Sus scrofa: one gene and its partners. The protein of the gene in region 2 binds, or shares a complex with, the protein of the main gene of each other region. Links are inferred from orthologs where the notes say so. Each region holds a gene or a part of one and is shown on either strand. Other genes may lie near its edges.

The links.
Region 1: the proteins of SPTSSA (region 2) and ORMDL3 are in contact, whole or in part, in a cryo-EM structure (PDB 7CQI), measured with the Homo sapiens proteins. The link is inferred for Sus scrofa from reciprocal best matches to the Homo sapiens genes SPTSSA and ORMDL3. Residues at the interface, in NP_612145.2 of Homo sapiens: Ile44, Tyr50, Thr51, Val54, Phe55; in NP_001307730.1 of Homo sapiens: Val36, Leu38, Ser39, Ile40, Pro41, Phe42, Ser44.
Region 3: SPTSSA (region 2) and SPTLC3 share a complex: the UniProt entries of both Homo sapiens proteins name them as parts of the serine palmitoyltransferase (SPT) complex. The link is inferred for Sus scrofa from reciprocal best matches to the Homo sapiens genes SPTSSA and SPTLC3.

The regions. Positions count from the first base shown.
Region 1 is NC_010454.4:22,409,701-22,414,018, forward strand, and holds the start of ORMDL3 (ORM1-like protein 3), read left to right. Parts: upstream 1-1,429; 5' UTR 1,430-1,579; exon of another isoform or gene 1,580-1,654; intron 1,655-1,746; exon of another isoform or gene 1,747-1,768; intron 1,769-1,882; exon of another isoform or gene 1,883-2,006; intron 2,007-2,048; exon of another isoform or gene 2,049-2,128; intron 2,129-2,519; exon of another isoform or gene 2,520-2,542; intron 2,543-4,318. UniProt on the Homo sapiens protein: Plays an essential role in the homeostatic regulation of sphingolipid de novo biosynthesis by modulating the activity of the serine palmitoyltransferase (SPT) in response to ceramide levels.
Region 2 is NC_010449.5:65,323,108-65,326,499, forward strand, and holds the end of SPTSSA (serine palmitoyltransferase small subunit A), read left to right. Parts: intron 1-1,602; coding exon 1,603-1,706; 3' UTR 1,707-2,770; downstream 2,771-3,392. UniProt on the Homo sapiens protein: Component of the serine palmitoyltransferase multisubunit enzyme (SPT) that catalyzes the initial and rate-limiting step in sphingolipid biosynthesis by condensing L-serine and activated acyl-CoA (most commonly palmitoyl-CoA) to form long-chain bases.
Region 3 is NC_010459.5:21,845,796-21,849,441, reverse strand, and holds part of SPTLC3 (serine palmitoyltransferase 3), read right to left. Parts: intron 2,097-3,646; coding exon 1,877-2,096; intron 1-1,876. UniProt on the Homo sapiens protein: Component of the serine palmitoyltransferase multisubunit enzyme (SPT) that catalyzes the initial and rate-limiting step in sphingolipid biosynthesis by condensing L-serine and activated acyl-CoA (most commonly palmitoyl-CoA) to form long-chain bases.

The DNA of each region.
Region 1 (4,318 bases), on a different chromosome or scaffold from region 2:
ACTCAGGCTAAATTAAGCAGAAAGTGATCCACTATTTACCATGAATGTAGTGTGTGAGTCATTTACTCTGTTCATTCCCATTGTGAAAAAACAAACAAACAAACAAACAAACAAAAAAAACTGACCTGATAACAAAAGCTGTTAATAGCGCACAGCACATCCAGCAATCTTTCTGTTAGACTATGTGTTTGTCGGCCCTTGTTTGTGAGGTGGATCCAGTCTGGGTTACTGAACTTCACAGAGAGTAAGGAAACTGGCAAAGAGCAGAGCCCTGATCAACTTCAGAGAGGCTGGAAGAATCCCAGAGAAAAGGTGAAGGAGTTAAGCAGGCTCACTTCGGGGAGGGGGGAAAGACTTTTTTTTTTTTTTTTTTTGGTCTTTTCTAGGGCCACTCCCTGGGCATATGGAGGTTCCCAGGCTCAGGGTATAATAGGAGCCGTAGCCGCCCGGCCTACATCAGAACCACAGCAACGTGGGATCCAAGCCGTGTCTGCGGCCTACACCACAGCTCACCACAATGCCGGATCCTTAACCCACTGAGCGAGGCCAGGGATCGAACCCATGTCCTCGTGGATACTAGTTGGGTTTGTTGCCGCTGAGCCACAACAGGAACTCTGTTGAGATACATTCTTTTGAATTTGCACAACCTCAGAGGTAGGTTTACACAGGTGTGGAATCAGAGATTAAGAGATGTTATTGGCCTAGGGTTATGCAGGTGGTGAGGAGTGCCTGATAAGTCTACCTGGTAAATCTGTGCCAGGAGAAACCTGTGCTTTAGCCTTTAGAGCCTGCAGATGTGAAAACTACAGACTAGAGACCCTCCCACCCCAAACCACACAGCTGACTTGGGACTGGGACTCAGGGTTGTAGTTATTCAGCAGGGAGTCTTCCCAAGTCACATGTCCTCTTCCCACATCTAATGTGGTGAAGCCCAGGATGTGGCCGGTCCCAGGCCAGCCCGGGTCAGAGGCAACTGAGCAGGAGACAGTCTGCCCACAGACTGCGTTCTCTACCCGCCAGACTCTTATCCTAAAAAACATCGTGAAAAAACCCGCTTCCAGGAGGGCCCAGCAAGGCAAACAGCTAGGCTAGTCGTTTGACGGAGGGCCAGGGCAGAGGCAGAGAGGTGGAATTGAAAATATCTGACTTGGGGTCAGAATTTCTGGGTTCGGGTCCAGCTTGGGGGCGAGCAGGGACCTATGGCAAGTTACTTAAAACTCCAAGTTTCTTCATCTGCAAAACCCGGCAAGAGTGATTTCCACAGGAGCGCGGATGCCAAGGCAGGAATTGTTATGCGCCAAGGCGATACCATCTGAACTTTGTGACGCGCACGTACTATTAAAAACCTCCGTGCGGCCCCAGCGGCCTGGGCTGGAGCAGGGGAGAAAAACTACAACTCCCAGGAGGCGTCGGGCGGGCAGGCGCTGAGCGGTGACGTAATGGGGGCCGGCGCCGGGCGCTGATTCGGCCCGAGCTGCCAGCGGGGTGGCTGCCGCCGCGGGTTATTACAGCTGCTGGAGCAGCAGCGGCCCCCGCCCCCGGGCACCCCTCCCGGGCCCTCGACGTCCGGCCCCGCACGGTGAGTCCGGAGGAGCGGCCTCCAAGTGGCTTAACCGGGAGCCTCCGGGGGCTAGCAGGCGGGACGGGAAAGAAGGTGGGGGCTGTTAAGGAGGCGTCTGGGACTGGAGGGGTCCCGGACTGGCTGAGCGGAGGTTGAGGGGGTGCATCAGCCGAGAAGGGTGCATCACTCGAAGGGATGGGGAAAAGGGCAAGTGGGGACTGGAGGCCGGGGATGGAGCGTCGAGGAGGAGCGCTCGGGCTGGGGGTGGGGGGCGGGGAGCAGCTGGGCTTTGGGGATAAAGGTTTGGCAGCTTCCAGGGCTGGGTGAACGCGGGGGGTGGGGCTCCAGGCCGGGCCAGGCTCCGAGTGAGAGGTCCCAGGCTGGGGAACGGAGCGGAGGCCCCCCATTTCGGCTTGCAGTCTCACTCAGAAAAACCCCAACAATAGTAAGGACTCCGCCTCCTCGCTTCGCCCTCTCCCCTTGCTAGTTAGGGGTTCGCTGCTGTACTCGACATCTTTCCGTTCCCACTGCCCCCCAGAGTCCCGGAGGCAGGGCCAGAGCTGAGAGGTAAGCGAGCGACGGTAGCCCTCCGGGTTAGGGGGTGGGCAGAATGAGAATGGCATTCTGGCGTGCTGCCAGGGACTCCCCGCTGGGGTCCAGGTTGCAGGCTTGGATGCTTTGTGCTCCTCACCCAGAGAAAGATTTGCTGCCCTGACTTGGGGGAGAGACTCGAAAGTGCTCACCTGGCTGCTGGCACTGTGGCCTTGGCTTAGGTGTCTGACAGGCTGGGCAGGGATATTTGTGTTCAGAGCAAGAGGGGAAGAGAGGGAAGGAGTAGGAAAGAACTACCAGCGAGAAAGTGGTTAACAGAACAGAGTTGCTGCAGGCTCTGGTTTGAGGCAGGTTATGAAACCACATCAGGGACTGACGCGAACAGCCACCTGCCAGCTATGGCAGTAGAACTTTTCAGCCTCAGCTGCTGTATGTACACTTTTCTGTCTTTGCCAGCTTCTCCCCACTTCTCCCGTCTGGGCTGGGGGAAGTTGGTTATTTCACTAATGGAAGTGATATGTAGCCTTAGTCACACAGAAGCCTCAAGAGTGCTTCTTGCTGCCTGTCATTTTCTTAGTTTATTGACCTCATCTGTCTGTTGGGGGTGGGGGGGGGCGTCTCCTGGGGTATTCTGCTTTCAGGGCATCTAGTGTTTCAGGCTGCAGAAAGAAGCTTCCCTGGGAATCGGTTAAGTCATAGGTCTGAGTCCTTCCTAGAGTCATCAGGCTTTGTTGGATGCCCTGTTACAGCCAGGAAGGAGTATGGGATGATCTGGGACTCAGCAAGGCTCTTGGCGCTCCTGGGCAAAATACCAGGGAGGGCTAGAGGTCTTGCTCGCTACTTTAACAGCCTTGTAGGTCAAGGTTAGGGAGAAGTGGGGGAGGGCAGCGGTTTCTGGTCAGACTCAGGGAACTCTTTCTCTCTCCTTAGTCAGTAGTTAAGTCCTCAGAGCCCTTACTTCTTAGCGAGTTTCCCCCTCTTCCCCCCCCCAACATTCCACCTGGTGGAAGCATTTGCATGGTAGGTGTCCCAAGAGCTGTGTTAGGGTAACTGAAGCCCTAAGCCCTGGGGAGGTAAACAACCGAGCCAGTCCTGGTTTTCTAGTTCCTTGGGTTTCTGTGAGGCCCAATTATCCAGCTTAATGGGTTGAGCTGATGGGCCGCAGGAGCATCACTGCTGCTAGGGTGTGTCCTAGCTGTCGTTTGTCTGTTTGTATGCTGGCAAGGTGTGTTGTGGGTCATGTTTCCCCTGGGGTCTCTAAGTTTGGAGCCGCCTAAGAAGAGAACATCGTTCCCATTATCCCGGAAGTAGGGAACCGATCCTTGAGAATTCCAGCTCCCATGCAGGCTCTTTGATCCCAGCCAGAGATTGAGGGCAGCTGAGCCTGCGGGTGGGTCTGTTGGTTGCAGCAGGGTGAGGGGGGTGGCCTTCTGGGTGCTTCCAGGATCCCCCCATCTGTATCCCCAGGAAAGATGAGGCTGTTACCATGGCAGTGACCTTAGGGTCTTTATCAGGTAGGATCTTCCCTCAGCTAGGGAGGTGAGCCAGTACAAACGTGCCACCTGTTCAAACCTCCTGCTGGTCACAGGGATCCGGGGACAGCTGAGCTCTGGACAAGGGGCTGCTCGTTCCCCTTCTTACCTGCATCCAGGAATGCAGCTGGGCTGCATTGTTTCCTGGGCATCAGGGGCAGCCCTCCTGATTCCTCCTGCTGCAGGGCTTCTGCCCTTGGAGCTGGGCAGGGGAAGGCATGGTGCTAACTCACACCTGGAAACAGGTGCTGGGCAAGGAGGCCAAGGCGAGGACGGGTGGGCAGTGAGGAAAGGGGGTAGGAGCGAGGCCACAGGTGTGGTTTTGTGTCCCTGGGAGAGCTGTGTTGACGTGGGCCCCAGCCACCCGTGGGAGCTGGAGCCATTGGCCGCGTTCTCCCTCCTTGCGTCTCCTCTGGTGGAGAAAAGCGCCCTGCTGGTGTGGCAGCCAAGTGGGTGTCATCACGAGGGTTAGCTGAGTGGCTGCCAAATGGGTAAAACATCTGGACGGGTTGTTTTCATATGACCAAGAAGACGGCTTCCAGGTCTAGGCAAAGGTTGTCTCTAGTCTGTTTTCTCTTTTTCTCTTTCTTTCTACCCACCAGTCCTGCTGGGTCATGACGGGGGGAGACCCAGGATAGGAGCGTTAGGGAAGATGGGCAGAAGTCGTGATCCC
Region 2 (3,392 bases):
GAAAAGAACAAATTTGATGCTAATCTTACACTTTAGGGCAGACAGGGAAGAAGAGCCAGGGAAATAGGAAAATGGTGCGAGAGAAGGGAGGAGAGCTGCGGAGAAGTACCTCAGCCCAGAGTGGAAGGAGCTTGATTAGGAGGGATGAAACTGCCTCAATTCAAATAGCCATTGGATAGGATAGGTCACCAGTGACCTGAGAGCAGTGTCCATAGCCTGGAGGGTAGAAGGCAAGTGGTTGTGTGGGTGGTAAGTGGTGACATGGAAGCTGCAAGTATGAGGTTAAAAAATGTGAATGCAAGGTGGTTTAAGAAAGAACTGAATCAAAGGAGGCTAAAAAATAAATTGTAAAAAATTATCATGGGAGACCTTTCACCCATGTCCCCTTGATGAGGGCAATGAACTTAGGGTTTCAGTCAGGCTAAGACAGCTTCCTGTACAGCTCTGGAATGTCCCTCAGTGCTCTGTCCTTTCCCAGTGAGTAACAGTCCCAATAAACATTTCACAGGGAAGCTATAAGGGTCAAGCAAGATAATATATGAAAGAGCTTTGTCAACTAAACTGTTATACAAATATTAGTTGGTAGTAAAGTGCATTGTTTATTTAAACCCTATCTTCTCGTAAAGGAATGTAAGGTATTGTGGAACTACTGGCTCAAAGAGCCGGGAGGTGGGGGAGGGGGAGGGAGCATGTGAATGAATGAGTGAGACACAGTCCCAGTTCAGAAGCTGCATTTCCCCTTAGAATGGCTGTGTGACTCTGCAAGGCCAAAAAAAAAAAAAAAAAAAAAAAAAAAAAAGCCTTAGATTTTTACATAACTCTTGTTAGCAGGGTTTTGTGTGGCCCACAAGGAGGACTCCTTGTTGATTTTGCCCAACAGTTTCAGTTCCTTTTGGAATGCAGAAAAGGGAACGCCGCAGAGAATGTTTATTGTTTAGGTTATCAAGATAACTCTGATGTTGTTGCAAAGTTTCGTGATAATAGTAATAAACATTTAATAGTAACAGGTGCTATCAGGTTATGTCACTAGTATGTGATTGATCTTACCTTTGACTCTAAAGCTAGTATTTTAGCCACATTCTAGTCCAAATAATTCCAAAATGCCTAGGTCAGGCATTCTTATTATTCAAGTCAATAGGTCTCTGAGAATGGTGTCAGACATAGTTAAGGTTAGTGGCCGTAAGTATAGTTATTGGTTCTTTATAAATACTTGACATGTTTGGAAAAGTGTCAAGTGAATGGGTACTTCCACATAAAGCAGTTCTTGGGATTTCCCATTGTGGCTCAGTGGTAATGAGCCCAACTAGTATTTATGAGGATGTGGGTTTGATCCCTAGTCTCACTCAGTGGGTTAAGCATCCAGTGTTGCTGTGAGCTGTGGTGTAGGTTGCAGACAAGGCTTGGGTCTGGGCATTGGTGCAGCTGCGGTGTAGGCTGGCTCTGATTCCATCTCTAGCCTGGGAACTTCCATATGCCACAGGTGCGGCCCTAAAAAGCAACCAAACCAAACCCAAAAAACAGTTCTCAAGAAAATTGGGGGATTTAGTTCTGAATAAATTAAGAGAAAGCAAATTAAATGAAGTTTCCTTAACAACAACTCAGATTCCATGCTGGTTTCCATCGTGGGGATGGCCCTGTACACAGGATATGTCTTCATGCCTCAGCACATCATGGCGATACTGCACTACTTTGAAATTGTACAATGACCAGGATGTGACCGGAATCAAGAGGTTCCTTAGGGAAGAGCCACCGTCTGAAGTTGGAATGAGACCTCATTCAAATGTCGTAAGAAACTCTTCTAGATGTCAACATAATCAATCCTACAAATATAAAGACTAAAATTCATGAGTAGAACAGGAAAGCAATCCTGACTCATGTGTTGTGTTCTTTATTTTTAATTTTAAAAAGGAGCTCTTGTATAGTAGTTTTTGTCTATTTTAACATTGTAGTCATTTGTACTTTGATATCAGTATTTTCTTAACCTTTGTGACTGTTTCAATATTACCCTGTGAAAGCTTTTCTTAATGTAACAACTTTGAGTACATTTTAATTGCCTTCTATTTCTAAAACCCAAAGTCATTAGTTGGGCTCTACCGTTCTTTCTTGCTATTGTACGGCAAACATATCTGCCTGGATATATTTCTACTCTTGACCAAAGTTTTGTAAGAAAAATTCAAGATTTTGGGCAGGGGGCTGGGGAGGGAGGATATTTTACTGAGAACTATTTACAAAAGACTTATCTGTAAGTTTGAACTCAGGAGTACAGTTTTAGCTATCTAGACTCTACTCTTTAACAGCTTTTGCTTTAAAACTATTAAAGTGTTTCTTAACAATGAAAAAGAAAGATCTTGCTAAAGTTAAAATAAGGAACATTTCACCTTTTAAATATTTAATTCTTGTGTGGACTCATTTCCAGAAAATTTTGGTGATGATTCTTGTGACAAATGATGGTTAAGTAGCATTATTATGTAATGCTTAGTACTGTAGAGTTTTTAATAGAAGGTAAATCAGTTTCCTCTGAGCACCATTAATAACTGCGAACTTCCTTAAATTTAGTTCCATGATTGTAATGGGTGCTGCAAATGCGTTTGCACATTGCATATGATGAGATGAATTGTTGATAAAAAATTATAGCAAAAAGAAACGTAAACTTGGTTAAAATTCTTCCATGCTTTGTATTGTTTTTTTTAAAAGATTTTTATTCCTTAAATGTAAAATGACTACCTGATTTTTTGATGTAAACTCATTAAATTCAAAGAGAGAAAAATCAGCTGATGTTGCACTACGTTGTTTTTTTTACCCCCCTCAATAGTTAAATATTGATGTAATAGTAGTTCTATTTCTGAATCAATTGCTATGGGAAAATACGCAGTAATTAGTAAGTATATCTTTCTTTTTTTTTTGGCCGCCCCATAGCATATGGAGTTCTTGGACCAGGGATCAGATCCGAGCCTCAGTTGCCACCTAAGCCACACCTGAGGCAATGCTGGATCCTTAACCCACTGTGCTGGGCAGGTATTGAACCTGCGTCCAGGGCTTCCAAAACACTGGCATTCCCATTGTGGTACAGTGGGAACTCCTGCAGTAAGTATATCTTAACATGTCTCTCAATATAAAAGTATTGCTTATTTTATTTTATTTTATTTATTATTTATTTATTTATTTATTCTTTTTGATCTCTTTGTCTTTTAGGGCATATGGAGGTTCAATCGGAACTGTAGCCACTGGCCTATGCCAGAGCCACAGCAATGCGGGATCCAAGCTGCGTCTTCAATCTACACCACAGCTCATGGCAACACTGGCGGGATCCTTAACCCACTGAGCGAGGCTAGGGATCAAACCCCCGTGGATGCGAGTCAGTTTTGCTAAATACCACGGGAACTCCAAATATT
Region 3 (3,646 bases), on a different chromosome or scaffold from region 2:
CTCCCTGGTTTGTCTAAACGATTTACGATTTACCGGTAGTCTGAACTCCTGTTTCTGCTGGAGACAACAAGTAAGGAATCCGGAATTTAGGGAAATCATTGAGCCACTTGCTTTTGGGTCTTCTGAGTCCCCCTGAGTGGAGCCAACACCCCCTCATCATCTCTTTGAGACAGGTGTAGGCCTGTGGGAGGTGTAGCCATTAGGATTTGGATAAAATTTTCATATAAGGGAGCAGATAACTGACTTTTTAAAACCTCAAACCCATTTTTTCCCCTTTTTTGCAGGGGGGCACAACTGTGGCATTTGGAAGTTCTCAGGGGCCAAATTGGAACTGCAGCTGCTAGCCTACAGCACAGCCACGACAACACCAGATTTGAGCCATGTTCGAGACCAATGCCACAGCTCACAGCAGCACCGGATCCTTCATTCACTGAGTGTATCCAGAGATCGAATCCTCATCCTCATGGATACTAGTTGGGTTCTTAACCTGCTGAATCACAACAGGAACTACCAAACCTGGGTTTAATTTCATTTTCTTTCTCTCCTTCCTTTCCCTCTTCTTTTAAAATTCTTTTAAGCATTTTTTTTAAAGTATAGTTGATTTACTATACTCATTGTTGTTTAATTTCTGCTCTGTAGCATCATGATCTAGTCATACATCTATATACATTCTTTTTCTCACACTATCTTCCATTATGTTCTATCCCAAGAGACTGGATATAGTTCCCTGTGCTGTAGAGCAGAACCTTGTTGCTTATCCATTTTAAATGTGATAGCATTTGTTTTATGTTGGCAGTGCCCTTGGTAATACTGGCACTAGAAGCACGGGGCTAACGCTTCCTTAGTCTCATCCCATCAGATCAGAATCTTAAGTCAGGTGGAAAAGACATTAGAGGATGACAAGCTCTGACCCACAACTTACCCACATTTGTGGGAGAGAAAAATCTTTTAAAAAGACATTTCCAGGGAGTTCCCATCATGACTCAGTGGAAAGCAATCTGACTAGCATCCATGAGGACGAAGGTTCCATCCCTGGCCTCACTCAGTGGGTTAAGGATCCAACCATTGCCGTGAGCTGTGGTATAGGCTGCAGATAGGCTCTGATTTGGCTGACTGTGGGTGTGGCTGTAGCCAGTGGCTTCAGTTCCGATTCTACCCCTAGCCTGGGAACTTCTACACACCGAGGGTGAGGCCCTAAAAAGCCGCCCCCCACAAAAAAAAGAAGAGACATTTCCGATCTTGCTACAATTCTTAAAACCCCCAACGTGTAGCTCAACGCCCTCAGCCTCTGACTTTTACCCACTGTTTCTACTGCCCACCTTGCTTTCTTCACACCACCAAAGCCAAACTGCTTACAGTTTCGTAGCATCATTTCTTTGGCCTGATATATCCATCATTCCCTCTTTCTGAAAAAGAACCCTGCCCTCTCCTGTCAGTCATGTGTCTACAAGAATGATATTCATTCAGTCTCCTTAGATGCCCCACCCCTTCCTGTCATGTGTCTACAAAACTGACATTCATTCTAAGACTTCTTAGAGGCCCTGCCCCTTCCTGCCATGTGTCTGCAAGACTGATGTTCATTCTATGACTCCTTAGATGCTGCCCTGCAGAGTATGCCATCCTTCTCCTTTGCACTAAGTCTTGGCCTGGGTGCACAGCCAGTGTTGTCTTTTTTCTGATCATGTCATCATGCATCCCATGCCTCTCGCACCATCAGGCTTCTTGACCTGGGCCTCCCTTGGCTGTGAACACACCCACTAGGCTGTGCTGATGGATCTGGGTTGCCAAGCTGCACAGACACTCTGGAGGACACCAGAGAGCCCCTCAGGTGGCGTTCCCAGGGCATTCAGGTTCTAAACAGACATAACATACTTACCTTTCTTCCAGCTAAGTAGCCCCCTGAGGCTCCAAAGCTTTTGGTGAAAGTGCCCATGCACACATCGACGTCTCTGGGGTCCATTCCAAAGAATTCCACCACACCTCGACCAGTGGGGCCCAGGGACCCAATACTGTGAGCTTCATCTATGTAGAGGTAAGCCTTGTATTTCTTCTTTAGAGCCACGATCTGGGGCAGATACACGATGGAACCTTCCATGCTAGAGCAGAAGGAGAAATGTTGTCAGCAGGTGTGCCATCTGGGGCAGCTCTGGGTCACTGCCCCTTGCAGACAGCCTGCCCAGACAGACACCAGACAGGGATGACAGACACAGGCCATTCTTTTCTTCTCAAGGCTTGTTTTATTGTGCTGAGGCCACCCTCTCTATCAGGCTGCTCTGGTGTTATTGCACTTGGAATAGTCATTTTTATCCAATGGATTTAAGCCCTTTGAGTTGTTACAGCTAATTCCCGGGTGAACTATTAGCTCATGGCATTGGTGATCAATTGTATCGGTAAAACTGACTAGTGTAACTAAAACCACCATGTTGGATTCTAGGTACTTTGCTAGTTTTAATTAAATTGCTCTATACTAATGCATCTTTATCAGCCTGCTCCTATTTGCCCAGTTCTGTTTGACCTAAACCCAGTACTTGAATTACTGGAAATTAAAAGAAGGAATTCAGAAGTTCCTGTTGTGGCTCATCAGGTTAAGAAACTGATGTTGTTTCCATGAGGATGCGAGTTCGATCCCTGGACTCACTCAGTGTGTTAAGGATCTGGCATTGCTACAAGTTGTGGCATAGGTAGCAGACGTGGCTGTGGCATAGGCCTCAGCTTCCTCTGAAGGACTTCCATAGGCCACAGGCACAGCAATAAAAATAAAAAATAAAATAAAAGTAGGAATTCAAAACATGCAAAAGAACTTGAAGACATCTTAGTAGTCATTAAAGCCAAGGCTCTTTAATTCAGTCCTCACTGAAGTCAAAGGCTTACTTAAGGCACCTCATGGTGTCCTTTCTTTTCCTTTAGGGCAATGGTTCCCAATCTTGAGTGAGCAACAGAATCTCTTGAAAGATTTGTTAACACACATATTGCTAAGCCCCGCCCCCAGGGTTTCTGATTTATTAGGTCTGAGGTGGGCTGAGAATCTGCATTTCTACCAAGCTCCCAGGAGATTCCAGCACTGCTGGTTGAGAACCACTGCTATAGATCAACTTTTGATTTAGCCAGAAATGCTTAATTTTTCATGGTATTATCGTAAATGTCCATGGTTTTGTAATTTGCAAAAAACTCTTCAAGTCCTCCAACAGAGGGAAAAACAGGAAGTAAATAAGCAAGGAAGATTAACATTCAGATTGACGTGGCACCTCTGGAACCCAAGGGATTTAAGAGACCTTTTATCTTGAATCAGTTCTCAGAACACTCTGTAAGCTGCATTTACATGGCACATAGTTTTGACTGCACTGACAGGCAAGTTCTAGGAAAACACACAGACTCACACTCTCATGCCACAAAGGACCTTGTCAAACAATTCGAGCCACCTGTCAATTTAGTTCATGAACTAGTCAATCGATGCAAACAGAGAGTTGAACTTCTCCCTTCTTCTTAATTAGTTTACTTAGTCACTTTAATGTATTAAAAATAACTTGAGCCTTAGGCTGATTTAGTCAAACAGTCCTGCTGGTATGTAGTTACCCAGACCAACGGGTATTGGATGTAGCATTTGTGCTTTTTTTTAAAAGATTTTATTTTGCACAGCAGTTTTGGG